Arabidopsis thaliana: one gene and its partner. Each later gene encodes a partner of the first gene's protein in a complex. Each region holds a gene or a part of one and is shown in the gene's direction. Other genes may lie near its edges. The genes, in order: PAA2 and PBG1.

Region 1 (7,178 bases):
CCTTAAGTTGTTAGGGACGATAATTACCTCTATATTGACATATGTGTTCTTATCAAAACGGTGGTAAAAGCTTCAAAACCATGAAGGAACGTAGGACAGATACTTCTTGTGGCAGCTCCCTGAATCCATTGCTTTATAGAGTTTTCATATCTTGTTGAACTGTTGTTGAAAGTCTTTTGAATTTATGACTAAATGGCAATTGACAGGGATCGAGGCTTACAGCGTTTGAGTTGGTGCATGAGAAAATCCCTGCAACTCTCATTGCAGACTCAGCTGCAGCTGCACTGATGAAAGATGGTCGTGTTGATGGTGTCATCGTTGGAGCTGATCGTGTGGCTTCAAATGGTACACTCAAACACCTTAGATAAATCCGTTTTCTCTCACAAATCTGATTCCTTATGACTGAATCACTTCTTAACCAATTCATTGATATACTCCAGGCGATACTGCTAACAAGATTGGGACTTACAGTCTCGCCTTGTGCGCAAAACATCACGGGATCCCATTTTATGTTGCTGCACCTCTTACCTCAGTTGATCTGTCACTTTCATCCGGGAAAGAAATCGTGATAGAGGAAAGATCTCCAAAGGAGTTGATGCACACACACGGAGGACTTGGTGAACGCATTGCAGCACCAGGGATCTCAGTTTGGAACCCAGCTTTTGATATGACTCCAGCAGAGCTGATTGCAGGAATCATAACCGAGAAAGTTCGTTTTTCCAGCCTTGCTTGTTCTGGAAGATATTTATGCTCATTTATTTGAATCTCTCAACGTGTTTGTATATGCAGGGGGTCATAACAAAGAATGGCAATGATACATTTGACATAAGCAGCTTTGCCAAGAAGATAACAGGAAACTCATCTCGTTGAAGTTAGAGTCAGCATTGCGACTTGCGGATGTTCCCCTCTCTCTATATACTTGCAACAAAGCAAATTACTTTGTAATGTTTGAGCTACTAAGTACACTGTGGTAAAAATTGTCAAAAATAAGAAATAATCGATACGTTTTAGCCAATTGTAGGTAGCCAAAATGCTGGTCTTGGGTTTAATGCTAATGAAGATTGGGAAACAACTTGTTTTAGTGTAAAACAACTTGTCCATGGGCTTGCCCGGTCCATCTTGACTTGGTTCTTATTTCTCTATTTTTTTAAGTTTAAGAAAAGAATACCGTTTCTCCTACCCGTCAATATTGAAATAATTTCAGAGGTTTTCCTTGTTCTGTGTCAACAAACAATTCGAAATGCCTCGACTTTATCAATTTTTTGATAATTCTGAACTTTAGACCAAATGCATATGGACGAGCTATATTCTGGACCAAAAAACAAATGGTCTAATTGGGCATATGACCAGTTTTGTCCACGGATAATATGGGCTTGACCATATGGACAACGGGCTGCCCATGGGCATGAATTGAGTCAATAGACATGTCTTCATTTAATTGTATTTTTATAATTTTAATTACAATTACAACTAAATAATTTTTAAATAATATATTTTACATTTATAAGTTTTTACTTTTCTGAAAATTTTAAATTTTAATGAATTATTTCTTATTAAATTATTTACGATTTTAAAGGAAAGATAGTATTCCACAATTTTCTGGAATACGCAATTTTTAAATTTTACGGTTTTGACGGGAAAAATACAATTCTCCGATTTTACGATTTTGACGGAAAAACGTAATTCTGCAAATTTTCCACCAAAATCGTGATTTTATTATATTGGCGAGAACACAATTTTACGGTTTTGACGGGAAAACGCAATTCTCTGATTTTACGGTTTTGGCGGGAAAACACAATTTTCCAGCCAAAATCGTGATTTTATTATATTGGCGAAAAACACAATTTTACAGTTTTAGTGAGAAAACACAATTCTCCGATTTTACGGTTTTAGCGGTTAAATCGTTATTTTTTTGTATCGGTGAAAAAAATAATTTTACGATTTTACCGTTTTGGCGAAAAAAGCAATTCCATAATTTTTTCGTCAAAATCGTGATTTTATTGTATTGGTAAGAAAAACACAATTTTACCATTTTGTCGAAAAAAGACAAGTCTTCGATTTCTACAATTTTTACGGAAAAATGCAATTTCTCAATTTTTCTTTAAATTTATGATTTTTGATTTATCAATAATAACAATAATAAAATAGGCTAACCATGGGCTTGCCATATGGACATGGTCTTTATTGGGCATGGACATTTTTCGGACCAAACCGTCCAACTTGGCCCATAAAAAAACTGTCCGTACGGACACGCCCAATGGTCTTTGGACGGACCATTTGACACATCTAGAAACAACCGTCAGCAGTAGCCATTCGTTAAGAGTTTCAGAATTCCGATATATACATTTTGATACAACCTACACAAAAACAAAGACAAAGAGAGAAAATCCAACTATGAGGAGGATTATCTTGTTGATAGTGCCATCAAAAACAAGAGTTAGTTATTCACCTGAAGGTTTGGCTAAACAAAGTATATTATCTCTTTTCATATACCTGTCAATTACATCTTGACGCTGCATTGTCAACAATAGAGACCTCCTATGTCCTTTGTATTCACTCTTGGCTTTCTTAAGTACTCTAGTAGATTCATCTACAAATGTAAACATGGTTGTCTTCGCCGCGAGGTCGTTTGCATGTTCTTCTTTTACTTGTTTCGTTTCAGTTCGTTCTTGATCCTGCAAGATCGGGCGTCTTCTCATTGCGGCGTTAGTTAATTAAAGTATTTTGTGCAAAAAAAATTTCCGTCCAATTTTGCAACTTTATACTCTATGTCCAAAAAAAACAAAATAATTATATGAAATTTAAAATAATACGTAATATAGTCAATTTTTACAATTTTACATATTGTAAACGTAAAAACATTTGTTTTTGAAATTTTTTAAAAAATAAATAGTTAAACTACTCATATCAAGAATTTTGATTTGATATATTATTTATCAAAATTTAAAAGTTTAATAATATCAAAAAAAATTATATTGTGTATTTTTTTAATTTTATATAATTATTCTGCATTCTTTTAACGTGAAATGTAAAGTTGCAGCCCCAGGGAGTATTTTAGAGTTTTTTCGAAGATAATTGTAATCTTAACTTATTATTTCAAGGGTATTTTGGGAGATTGACTATTTTTTTTTGGGTTCTGTCTTGAAGACAAAGAAAGCTTTCTTCTATAATACATCTTTCTCTACAGATCACACAGAAGCAAAAATTCCATCTCCGATTTCGGAAGAGAGTTGTTCTCTTCTCTGAGAAGAAGAAGATGAGCAGAGGAAGCGGCGCTGGTTACGATCGTCACATCACTATTTTCTCACCGGAAGGTCGTCTCTTCCAAGTCGGTCAGTAATCAATTTCTCTATCTTTTTTGTTTTTTTAATTTATAACTTCGGAGATTGATATTACTGGTTACGGATTTTGTAGAGTATGCTTTCAAAGCCGTGAAAGCAGCTGGAATCACATCGATCGGTGTCCGAGGGAAAGATTCAGTATGCGTCGTTACGCAGAAGAAAGTTCCGGTGAGTCCTCTTTTGACTCCTTAGGGTTTTTGTTCAAGTGAGGGTTTTGAATTAGGGATCTGATGAATGATTTGTGGGCAGGACAAGCTTTTGGATCAGTCTAGTGTATCTCACCTTTTCCCTGTTACCAAGTACCTTGGATTGTTAGCCACTGGCATGACAGGTTTGTATTTCTCATCACAATGCTTGTTCATTATGGTCATGTTTTGATCTTTCTGGGGTTGCAGCTGATTCAAGGTCATTGGTACAACAAGCTAGGAATGAGGCTGCTGAGTTTAGGTTCCAATATGGTTATGAGATGCCTGCAGATATTCTTGCTAAATGGTAATTAATTACAGACTCTATGTGTCTCTCTACACTTATGAAAGTTACTAATACTGAACTATTGTGCTGTGACAGGATTGCAGATAAGTCTCAGGTTTACACACAACATGCTTACATGAGACCCCTTGGAGTAGGCAAGTTTCCCTAATCCCTATTTATACATTTTACTTGTGTGGTGGTTTTATCCTGATTCTTGTTTTCTTTGTCTTTGTGAAGTTGCCATGGTTCTAGGTATTGATGAAGAGAGAGGACCTCTACTTTACAAGTGTGACCCAGCTGGACATTTTTACGGTCACAAGGTAATACCACCTACTTGTTATGATTAGATAAGCCTCTGCCTCTTACATGCATATTCGTATAGACTACTGCCTTTGCTAACATGGAAGAAAGAAACATTATATTGCACTTGCCTAACCAGATACTGTACTGAGAAACTTATCTGCTTTTAAGAGTTACTGGTTGACCATGGAGGTGAAACCAAAAGTTCTACACACTGTAAACCTGTGAAATATGATGTAGTCACATACGTGGTACATATGTTCCATAGGATCAGAGGCTTCTATATAAAGTTTCTCCACTTATAAGTTAGCAAACATATGATGCAGGCAACTAGTGCTGGTATGAAAGAACAAGAAGCAGTCAATTTCTTGGAGAAGAAAATGAAAGAAAACCCTGCCTTCACATATGATGAAACAGTACAGGTAATTATGGACAATCCTTCTTTATTTTAGATCGGAAGCAGGTTGATCATTTGCAATGTTCATTTGCTTGCACTTTAAAAGCTTTATTGTTTTATATTAGGTTTAGAAACTGTAGGAACGCACAAAACACCAAAATTCTGTGACAGACCTAGACCATTATATCTGACTTTGAGTTATCAACTTTTGTAGACTGCTATATCCGCTCTCCAATCTGTTCTTCAAGAAGACTTCAAAGCAACTGAAATTGAGGTGTCAATTCTCCACTATCTGTACTCCTTTTTGTATAAATGTTGGCAAGAGTAGTATTTTGTATATATGTTGGCCAGAGTCGAATCGTGTTAGCCAGAGTTGTATCGTGGTTAGGAATAAAGAAGGAGAAACCAATGGAAATGTAGTTTTGTTAAAGCTTTGTGAAAAGGCATGTAAATATTTATGCTGGCTACTGTTGTGTTGGCAGGTGGGAGTTGTGAGAGCTGATGACCCTCTCTTCCGTTCCCTGAGAACAGAGGAGATCGACGAGCACTTGACGGCCATTAGTGAACGTGACTGATCACTTTCACTGGAACATTCAGTCGGGACTTTGCATCTCTTTCTTTTGCTTTAAATCTATCTAAGATGATTCACGTTTCAGAGAAACGTGTTTCCATTAGTCATGAGTCGTGTAGTTTTCATTTGAATCATCTGCTTCCTCCTAATAGGAGTTACATGTAAGGGTGTCAAATTAAGGTCGAATGAGATGGTTTAAGGTTTTGAATTTTAAAAGGCAAAACAAAGAAAGTTATTTACAAAAATTGGGAAATCTGCAAAACCTGGACACTTGGTCTTTAACATAATCTCCTAAAGGAACTCTGCATTTTGATGTCCGAGTCCAACTCAATGAACAGAGCTTGACTGAAACGTTTTTTGGAGGTGAAATTCCTTTATTCGTAGGCTTGTTAAAGAGTCTACGCTATAGCTTACCCTCGACTCTCTGCCACCCTTGATTGCGATACTGATATAGTTGAGCATAAAACTCAAAAGGTCGTGTGAAGAAGAATTTTGGTAAGATGTCCTTTGTTCTATCGCCTTTGATGTATATGTTTTTGAGTTGTGCGATGCATGCTGCATTGTCTTTGTACATAATTGTTGGAGCTTTTTTCCTTGCATAGATACCACAATCTTTTTGTATATGGTAACTATGGATCTTAGCCATACACGCTAAAAATCTTGCGGCTAGTTTCATGAATTGCTAAAATCTCTGAATGATTAGAAGATGTGGCTGCAACAGTTTTCTTCATAGAACGCCAATAAATAGCAATACATGTGAAGACATATTCTGTTTACGATCTACCATTATGGAGATCAGATAAATATCCTGCATCTGCAAAACCTTATGGAGATCAGATAAGTATCCTGCATCTGCAAAACCAATTAAATCTTCTAAATTGGTTAGGAAAAAGCAGACTCATGTCTTTCTTACATTGGAGATAACGAAGTATATGTTTAATTCCATTCCAATGTCTTCGAGTTGGACATGAACTTGCACTTAAGTATGATATTTCAGGACTAAGAACTCCTTCATTGTTTTCCCGAGGACATAATGGATCTTTATCCACATCAAGTGACCTTACAACCATTGGGCTACTCAAGGGGACTGCTCCATCCATGTAGAATCTTTTGAGAACATTTTCTGTATATGTCTCTTGATGCACCAGAATTACATTATTTAGGTGTTCAATTTGTAGTCCCAAACAAAATTTTGTTTTTCCAAAATCTCTCTTCTCAAATTCTTTCTTTAAATATTCTACTGTGAAGGAGATCTCTGCAGAAGTTCCCATAATATTTAAATCATCAACATAAACTACAATTATAACAAATCATTTCCCAAATCTGTTTATAAAGATGCATGGACTAACATAGTCTTTTTTTGTATATTCTTTTAGCAAGTCACTAAGGCGATTATACCACATACACCATGATTGTTTTAATTTATAAAGGGATCGATTTAATTTTATGCAGTATTGTTCTCGAGAATTTGATTGTACTGCTTCTGACATTTTAAATCATTCTGGGATTTTCATATAAATGTCATTTTTCAGTGGACCGTATAAATAGGTTGTGACTACATCCATCAAACATAAATCAAGTCCTTCTTTTACTGCTAGACTAATAAGGAACCAAAATGTAGTTGCATCCACCACAAGAGAGTATGTCTCTTCATAGTCAATTCCGGGTCTTTGTGGGAATCCTTGTGCGACTTTATGCCTTACAATTTCACCGTTTTCATTCTTCTTTCGTACAAAGACCCATTTATGTCCCACTGGTTTTACACTTTCGGGTGTACAGACTACTGGTCCAAACACTTCTCTCTTTGCAAGAAATTTTAATTCTGCATCTATTGCTTCATTCCATTCTGGCAAATCACTTCTTTGTGTACACTCTTCAATAGATGTTGGTTCATGATCCTCATCCATAACATCAACTGCTATGTTGCAAGCAAAATATCATCGACGTCGATTTGCTTTCAGTTCTATTTTCTTCTAGACATGACATAACCAGTTGAGATCTCTTAATTGTCAGGTAACTGAATTTCTTTCTGTGTCATGTCTAAAGTCTCTTCGGGAGATTCCTCATTTGTAATTATTTTTTCTATTTTACCTATGCC
Region 2 (7,662 bases), on another chromosome or scaffold:
GATTCTTAAGAACATGATTCTTAATTCTCATGTCTTCTATGAAAATAGAAGAGCCATTGTTTCTATTCTAAGTTCCAATCATCGCAGAAGCAAAATATGGATTCTGATTCTTAACCCCGTAAATAGAACTCTCCTAATATGCATTATGCAACAAACAATACACATTAGATGAAATGAAAACTGACAATAGCTTTTTCTGAGTTAATATTAGTTGACAGTTTACATGTAAACCAAAAGAAAACCCCGAGCAACATATACCCATTTTAACATTCTAAGTTTTTTCGGTTCTTTCGGTAAATATATGAACAAAAAACTGGTTCATTATCATCCAAAATGCTTACTGGCCTACTGGGTGTGCAAAATCTTCACCATGTACACTACTAAAAAGAGCCATCTACTAAGTTACTGTTTAAGGCAGTATCTTGACCTTAGTTTGTCTAAGACCTCTGCATACTCCATTGGGGTTGCTTTATTGCAGAAAACATCTTCCCATATCTTCAGTAGCTCTGCACCAAGAGAAATCAGATATCACAATTGTTATGATGTAGGTCATTTACACTACATGTATATGCTTTGATCATATTAAAGATCGTTGACATGACATGAAGAAGAAAGGGAGTACCGTTTTTCTCGGTTGAGGTAAGGCACATGACGAGCATGTTGAATCTAGGAACCTTTGTTAGGTTCTCAATGTATTTAACTGCCAAATCCATGTCTTCACTGCAACAAGCAAGAAACCATAAGCACCAATTATTACAAGATTTTTTGGAGAACCAGAATGCAAATGGTCAGTTTACTCACGTGAAGAATGAGGCTACACATTTGATTATGTCAACCAGCACCGGAGAGGTCAGGGCGTTCTTGAAAATCTGAGGTAAAGAGCTCGGAGTCGTGACCTGATATATTTACAAACCTGGTGAGTTGCACTGTTATTTAGGGATTGAGTTTATTTTTTTGCAGGTGGTATTTCAAACCTTCAACAATTGGCTTCGTAGGGCACTGTCGCCGGAAAAACTCCGCCAAGAGTTCTCAAATTCGTAAGCAGATTTTGGGGTTTTAATGTTTTTAGAAGCTTCAGTCATCGCAAGTGACGCTGCATGAGCAGCAAGCTCTTGTACTGATGGCTTTAGTTCCAGCTGTTTAGAAACCTGGTTTTCCTGTAACATTAGAATGGGGACAAGTTTTGTAGCATCAGAGTGGATTTTTTTGTACCACATCAACCTTTTTAACACTTAGACCACCATTACTTACCGGTCCAGAAGGCTGAGTACCATTTCTGTCAGAAGGCTTCGCCTCCTTTTCATAACTTTGGCTTCCAGGCGTCACTTTCTTGCTGTCTAGAATTTCCGTGATAGCTGGAATTTTCATGGAACCTTCTTTGCTTTTCTCCTGAAGATAGCATGACAAGTATAATGAGATAAGCTCTCGAAAATTCCATCTATGCTAACTAAAGATAAAGTTTCCATGTGATAATAATATCCGACAAACTTTACTAGTAAAACTAATTCTACACGACCTTTTAGATGTGCACTTTTGAACTTAACTTATATCAAACAAAATAAACTTGAAATATACCTCAGGTTGTATATTTTCAATGAGCTTCTTTCCCGAACTTTCATTGCTACCTAGAACAGGCTGAACAATATCCCTGTTCGTTTTGGCCACTAGGGTCACTGGCTTTGAAGTCATTTCTGTCTTTGGCTTTTGTATTTTCTTATCTAAACCTGATGTTTTGAGTAATTCTTGTGCAGTGCTTTGCATTGCTCCAGTGGCTTTCTCAATGATTTCCTGCTCAAAATTCAAAAAGTTAAGTATTTGTGAAGCATTTAAAATTAACCTGGCAAAAATGCAGCAAAGAAGCATATGAAAATATTACTTTCTCGAGCAAAGATTTGATATCGGCATATTGCTTCTTAAGTTCCTGGCTCTCAGGCTCCAATCTTAAGGCAAACTCAGCATCTGCGAATAATTTTAATCACCTTACATATGCAGCAACATGTAATAAAGAAATTGTATGTATCTTAACAGAACAGAATGAATGATTATATGGGTGCGAGGGATACCTTCTTTGGCTTCTTTAATCATGCCGAGTTCTTTTCTTGCTGTTGCTCGGCGTGAGTAAGCTTTTATATATCGATCATCCAGATTTAAAGCTTCTGTGCAGTCAACCTCAGCCTCTCGATATCTAATGTAAGAATCATTTTACAAAGTCAGAAAATATAGCTTAAAGAGGATCAGGTAATGGAAGACAAGTGGACACACACAAGAGTCACAGTGATGAATGAATAAAACCAATGAAACAGACAATGAGCAAACCTTTTGATTTTAAGGTAAGCCATTGCTCGATTTGCATAAGTCACAGCATTTGGCGATAAAGCAATGCTCCGAGAGTAACAATCAATCGCCTCATTGAACTTCTTCTGCTTGAAGAATTCATTACCCTGTATTCCAAGAGAGGTCCATGAGAAAGATTGCATCACGAGAATATCACATAACAAAAACAAAGCTTGAAGAAGAGAAAGTACCTGCTCCTTCTCTGAACTAGAATCCAATAGACTTTCTCCAATCAAACTACTCGACAAATCCCTAATGGAACGATACTTTTTAGCAAAGTCATATTTCCCTGACCCACTTGGTCTGAACGTCTCACTACTCTGAAAGTTCAAAACAAGGAATCTCATAAGGATGCATTAAGTTTTACAAATGAGAGCACTTCTGTATATACACAAAAGAACGAACCGGATTCGACGAATTAGCAGGTTGTTGCTTAATCTTCTTGTCTTTATCCTTCAATGAGAGTTCCCAATCCTGCAAGTCATTGAAAAATCCCTGGAAATCCTGGAAAAAAAAATTCGAAACCAAACGATGCAAGTAAACATCTAATTCGTTCTTAGTCTATATACATAATCGATTGTACAACAGTTCGTTGAACTAACAATCTCCATGAAATCTAGATAACGAAGTGGAGATAAGGAGCACGAGTCGTTTCGATTTTTTTCCTTTTTCATTCTCGAGTAAACAGAGATTTTAGCTAGAGAAGATTCATGTAAGAAAGATGAATCGAGTAGAAATGGTTACCTGAGTTTGATCGCGGCCGTGTTTGCTCGGTGACCTAGCCATTCTGAGAGAGATTCTCCGGCGAGCAAATAGTCGACGAGAAAGAGCAAAGATGATTCTAGAAGAAGACTGAGAAAGTCACAGAGTTCAATTTTGAACTACAGTATTGGACTTGGGCTTTCCGATATTTGAGTAATGTCGGGTGGGGTCATGTCAGTAACCGGGTTAAATCGATAATATTGGTTGAGATCGGGTAGGTCGGGTCAAATCGAGAATAAACCGGCCCGTTTGACACCTCTACGTGTGAAACTGAGTCAGGTCGGGTCAGGTAAAGAACCGTATTAAACCAATAAATTGATATTAGTGTGTGAGATCAAATCGGATCGGGTGAATAACCAGGTTAAACCGGTAAACACCGGGTCAGGCCCGATTCGCTATGTTTCTTGAGCGAAAGGAAATCACAGAAGTCTTTTTAGTGAGGTAAACAAAACCAAAACCATCAGATCTTAAGAAGAAGAACCTAAAGCTCACTACGATATTTTTCGAGAATATGACGACTGTAAGTCAGATCAATCTCGTCTTCAATGTTCTTATTACTATCTCTGCTTCTGATCCTTCTAGGTTTGATTTCGTTTTCCTGATTTTGATTTTGTTTCTTCTTCTGAGCAGTTTTCTGTTCCGATTGATAACGGAGATTCTATGAAGATCGCAGAAGAAGAATCACAAAGAACACTGTAAAAATCTCTTACTCTTATGCTTATGTAGGGTTTTCGATTTTGAGAAAATTTGGGATTCGATTTTGAATTTATTAGGGTTTTGTTTTGGTTTTTTGTTTAGGTACCCATATGTTACTGGAACTTCAATTGTTGCAATCAAGTACAAAGATGGGGTTTTGATGGCTTCTGATATGGGAGGTATGTCTCAGCTCCTAGTTTCAGCTCTTTATTTGGTTAAGTATTTGTATTGGTTTAATGTATGCACAAATTTTTGCAATGTATGTTTAGATTTACATCTGTTATAAGCTTGATTGCTTGAATCGTTTGTTTTGCCTCTCTTGGTGTTTGTTTGGTTAAATCTGTTTCTTTTTCTCTGTGAGAGATCATCACAAGTCAGTGAATAGATCATGTGTTTCAGATATGCTCGTTTCATGCGTATGAATCCTTCAAATTTCATTTCTCTAGTGTCTTTTCTGCTACATTTTTAAGTATGGTTTGATTCTTTTGGTCAAATTTGATTTTTGCATCTTTATAGACGATTCAGTGAATTAGGGTCAAACACTATTATGCAGAACAGGTTTTGTTATGTCTATTAGCTGCTTGATTGATAATAATATGTATTTTGGGCTAAACATATAGACAAGCAATTGCTTTTTGTTTTTTATGAGATTAGTTTCACATCCCCCTTGCATTTGTTTTCTTAGCTACGTTATCTTTCCAACATAGAATGTTACAGTTCTTTGGTTGTTCCTGTTTCGTCTCTTTAATATTGTTAGATTTAGGGTAAACTAAGAATTGAGGCTTCTTTTATGAATGATCCAGAGAATAATGTTGAAAAGTCTTGACTGTTTCTAGATCTTTTTGCTTTTGTTTCGGTTCCCTGTGTGCCATCCATTGTTAATTAGGTCAAGAGATGACAACTGAGAATTAACGTTACAACCATCAACCAGTACTTAGCTATGTTCATTGAAATAGTTTGATTTCTCATATCTTAACACCGACTCACAATAAGTAAGAGCTGTCATTTGTTTGTACGGTTAATAATTTTGATGGTATATCTATGTAGCTTGGATTATTCTTTTATGTTCTAATGGTGTGATCCTGGTTTCCTGGGACTTATGCACCAGGGAAATTACGATATTGTGCCATCAACTCACTTTCAAATTTTTGCATGCAGGTTCATATGGATCAACCTTAAGATACAAGAACATCGAGAGAGTGAAGGCTATTGGTAAGCATTCTCTTCTTGGTGCCAGCGGAGAAATCAGCGACTTTCAGGAGATTCTCCGTTATCTTGATGAGCTCACGTAAGAATCCGTTTGGTTCAATTTTTTTATATTTTAATCTTTCCTTGTCAATTATCAAGCCTCACAAGCCCTTGGTTTTACACAGCCTGAATGATAACATGTGGGATGATGGTAACTCTTTGGGACCAAAAGAGATTCACAACTATCTGACCCGTGTGATGTACAACCGTCGCAACAAGTTTAACCCTCTGTGGAACACTCTCGTCCTTGGAGGCGTCAAAAATGGGAAAAGTTACCTTGGAATGGTACGTCTCAGTCTTTCAAGTCACATATATAAAATTTTCTTATGAATGTAACTATTGATTTGGATCCATTTGCTTCTCTCTAGGTGTCAATGATTGGTGTTAGTTTTGAGGACGATCATGTTGCCACTGGATTTGGAAACCACCTTGCTAGGCCAATTCTTCGTGATGAGTGGCATGCAGACCTGAGTTTTGAAGATGGTGTCAAGCTACTTGAGAAATGTATGCGTGTGCTTCTTTACCGTGACAGATCTGCTATTAACAAGCTTCAGGTTTGTCTCTAATAACAAGTTTTGTTTACCGTTATCTCATCTCGTATAATCTTTGTTTAGTTTGGTAGAAGTTCTTCATAAGGATTGTAATAACAGAAAATATGAAAACTGTGCAGATAGCGAAGATCACGGAAGAGGGCGTGACGGTCTCACAGCCATACTCATTGAAGACATACTGGGAATTCTCGTCATTCCACAACCCAACTGCTGGTGCTGCAGGCTCCTGGTAAGAAGCCAAGCAACCACATCGGCTGGCGATCTTTTAAGGAAGCTTTTATTTTATTTTATGTGATGTTGTTAAACACTTTGTACTGTAGTTGTTTTACTATTAAACTTGGTGGTTTCTTTCTGACAGTCCAGAGTTTAGATCAATGAGGATTTATAAAAAGTACTGGATATCTTTGGGTAGTAATCCATACCTTTGTTCATTGTTGATCGTTCTCCATCGCTTTTTGGTCTCCTTTCTCTTTTCTCATTTTAAGTGAAGTTGACACAATTTGCACACAAATTCATAAAATTAATAAATCATCTATTGGAACCTACTCTCTCATTATTTATTAATCATAATTATTTCAGTAAATTCTTAACAAGTAAAGTATTAACAACTCCATTTCGTGATATGCATTATTCATCTCCTAATTGAATCCAAATTCCAAAAGTACAAATTCCATCAGGTTATTATCTAGTCAAATAGGTTTTTAAGAGCATCTCCATTAGAAATTCAAAGAGTTTTCCAAACAAACAAAAAAATAAAGTTTTATTATATGATTAATTTTTTTTATTTTAGTTAAAAACTGAACTAATGATAAAGAGAGAAATGTCATGATGAGTTGTAGAGAGTATCTCATAGTTTCTCAAGTGAGAAACTTTCTACCTTCTTTCTCTTTCATTTTTAATATTTTTATTTTTTTAGTTGTGAAAAACTCTTGTGAAAAACTTCTAATGGAAATGGTCTAATAGTTACAAGATCTATTAAATTCATAGGGTGAGTAGTTTTCTTGAACTTGTAAACGTAACAAGTTGTATATTTTCTTGAAATTTATAACCCGTTTTCTTGAACGCTGAATTTTATAGTTCTTTTAAAATTCCAATAATTATTTAAATTATAATTTAACTTTTCTAAAATCAATTTCCGACTATTGTGTTATCATTTTTGATCAAATTACAAATAATTTAGATTTTAATTTCTTATATTATTTTTCATGAAATTTATACTCATGAAAATACCCTAACGACTATTACTAGTGCTCATTTCTACACACGTCTTAAATATTCAAATTAGATACTCCAACTCTCGATTTTATGCGTATTCAGAATCGTAAATTAACAAATATTAGTCAACTGTTACAAATGTTGACTTAATTGACACGTGTGTAACAAAGTGGCGATTCTACTTTGTAAACTTCGTTTAGTCAAACCTTAGATCTTTTACAAATTTAAGCATATACAATACCAACCACCAAACATGGTCGTTTTACAAAGAAAAATTGCCAACTTATCACACACGTGACAACTGAGTCAACATATATCCCGATTGACTAACGTCCGTTAATAACGACTTGAAATTATGCATAAAAATCGACAGTTAGAGTATGTAATTTGAATAATTAAGACGTTTTCATATAAATGTTAGAATAAGTACATGTCTAAAAGAGTTCTTTGCAGATTGTTGGGATTGGGAAAAACTCTTTCTTTTTCTTTTGTAAATAGAAAATTTTACGTATGTCAAACTAATATAAACATGCTTTAATTTATATAATAAATATAAATAAATGGGGAAGTGCCTTTACTCAAGTGGTTAAGTCTATTTGATTCCATATTTCCCATCGTAGTTTGACTCCACTAAATCGCGTTATCCCGCGTAGTAAAGATTGACTATGGATCGAATTTTCTCGATTCAAAGATGTCAAAAAAACATAAACAAATATATACTAACATTTTTATCAAATATTAGAAAATTCAGTCCTATGAACTCATTATGTTTCTTTATTTTTTTTAAATTATTTGCAAACAACACATTACAATGCAACAATAAAACATACTTTCAGATTTCAATCCAAAATGTTAA

Evidence for each region.
Region 2: PAA2 (region 1) and PBG1 share a complex: the UniProt entries of both Arabidopsis thaliana proteins name them as parts of the 20S core complex.

The regions. Positions count from the first base shown.
Region 1 is NC_003071.7:2,230,970-2,238,147, forward strand, and holds PAA2 (20S proteasome subunit PAA2), read left to right. Parts: upstream 1-3,049; 5' UTR 3,050-3,256; coding exon 3,257-3,332; intron 3,333-3,414; coding exon 3,415-3,509; intron 3,510-3,590; coding exon 3,591-3,672; intron 3,673-3,736; coding exon 3,737-3,833; intron 3,834-3,908; coding exon 3,909-3,967; intron 3,968-4,049; coding exon 4,050-4,132; intron 4,133-4,438; coding exon 4,439-4,534; coding exon of another isoform or gene 4,535-4,564; exon of another isoform or gene 4,565-4,723; coding exon 4,724-4,783; coding exon of another isoform or gene 4,784-4,785; intron 4,786-4,991; coding exon 4,992-5,084; 3' UTR 5,085-5,501; downstream 5,502-7,178. Other genes in the region: AT2G05830 (NagB/RpiA/CoA transferase-like superfamily protein), read left to right, coding at 207-345, 441-709, 790-870. UniProt on the Arabidopsis thaliana protein: The proteasome is a multicatalytic proteinase complex which is characterized by its ability to cleave peptides with Arg, Phe, Tyr, Leu, and Glu adjacent to the leaving group at neutral or slightly basic pH.
Region 2 is NC_003070.9:21,138,363-21,146,024, forward strand, and holds PBG1 (20S proteasome beta subunit G1), read left to right. Parts: upstream 1-3,270; 5' UTR 3,271-3,607; coding exon 3,608-3,616; intron 3,617-3,726; coding exon 3,727-3,791; intron 3,792-3,894; coding exon 3,895-3,971; intron 3,972-4,950; coding exon 4,951-5,080; intron 5,081-5,165; coding exon 5,166-5,325; intron 5,326-5,408; coding exon 5,409-5,594; intron 5,595-5,710; coding exon 5,711-5,824; 3' UTR 5,825-6,096; downstream 6,097-7,662. Other genes in the region: TPR5 (Tetratricopeptide repeat (TPR)-like superfamily protein), read right to left, coding at 403-506, 623-720, 802-896, 975-1,157, 1,252-1,389, 1,576-1,788, 1,877-1,959, 2,064-2,185 and 4 more. UniProt on the Arabidopsis thaliana protein: Non-catalytic component of the proteasome, a multicatalytic proteinase complex which is characterized by its ability to cleave peptides with Arg, Phe, Tyr, Leu, and Glu adjacent to the leaving group at neutral or slightly basic pH.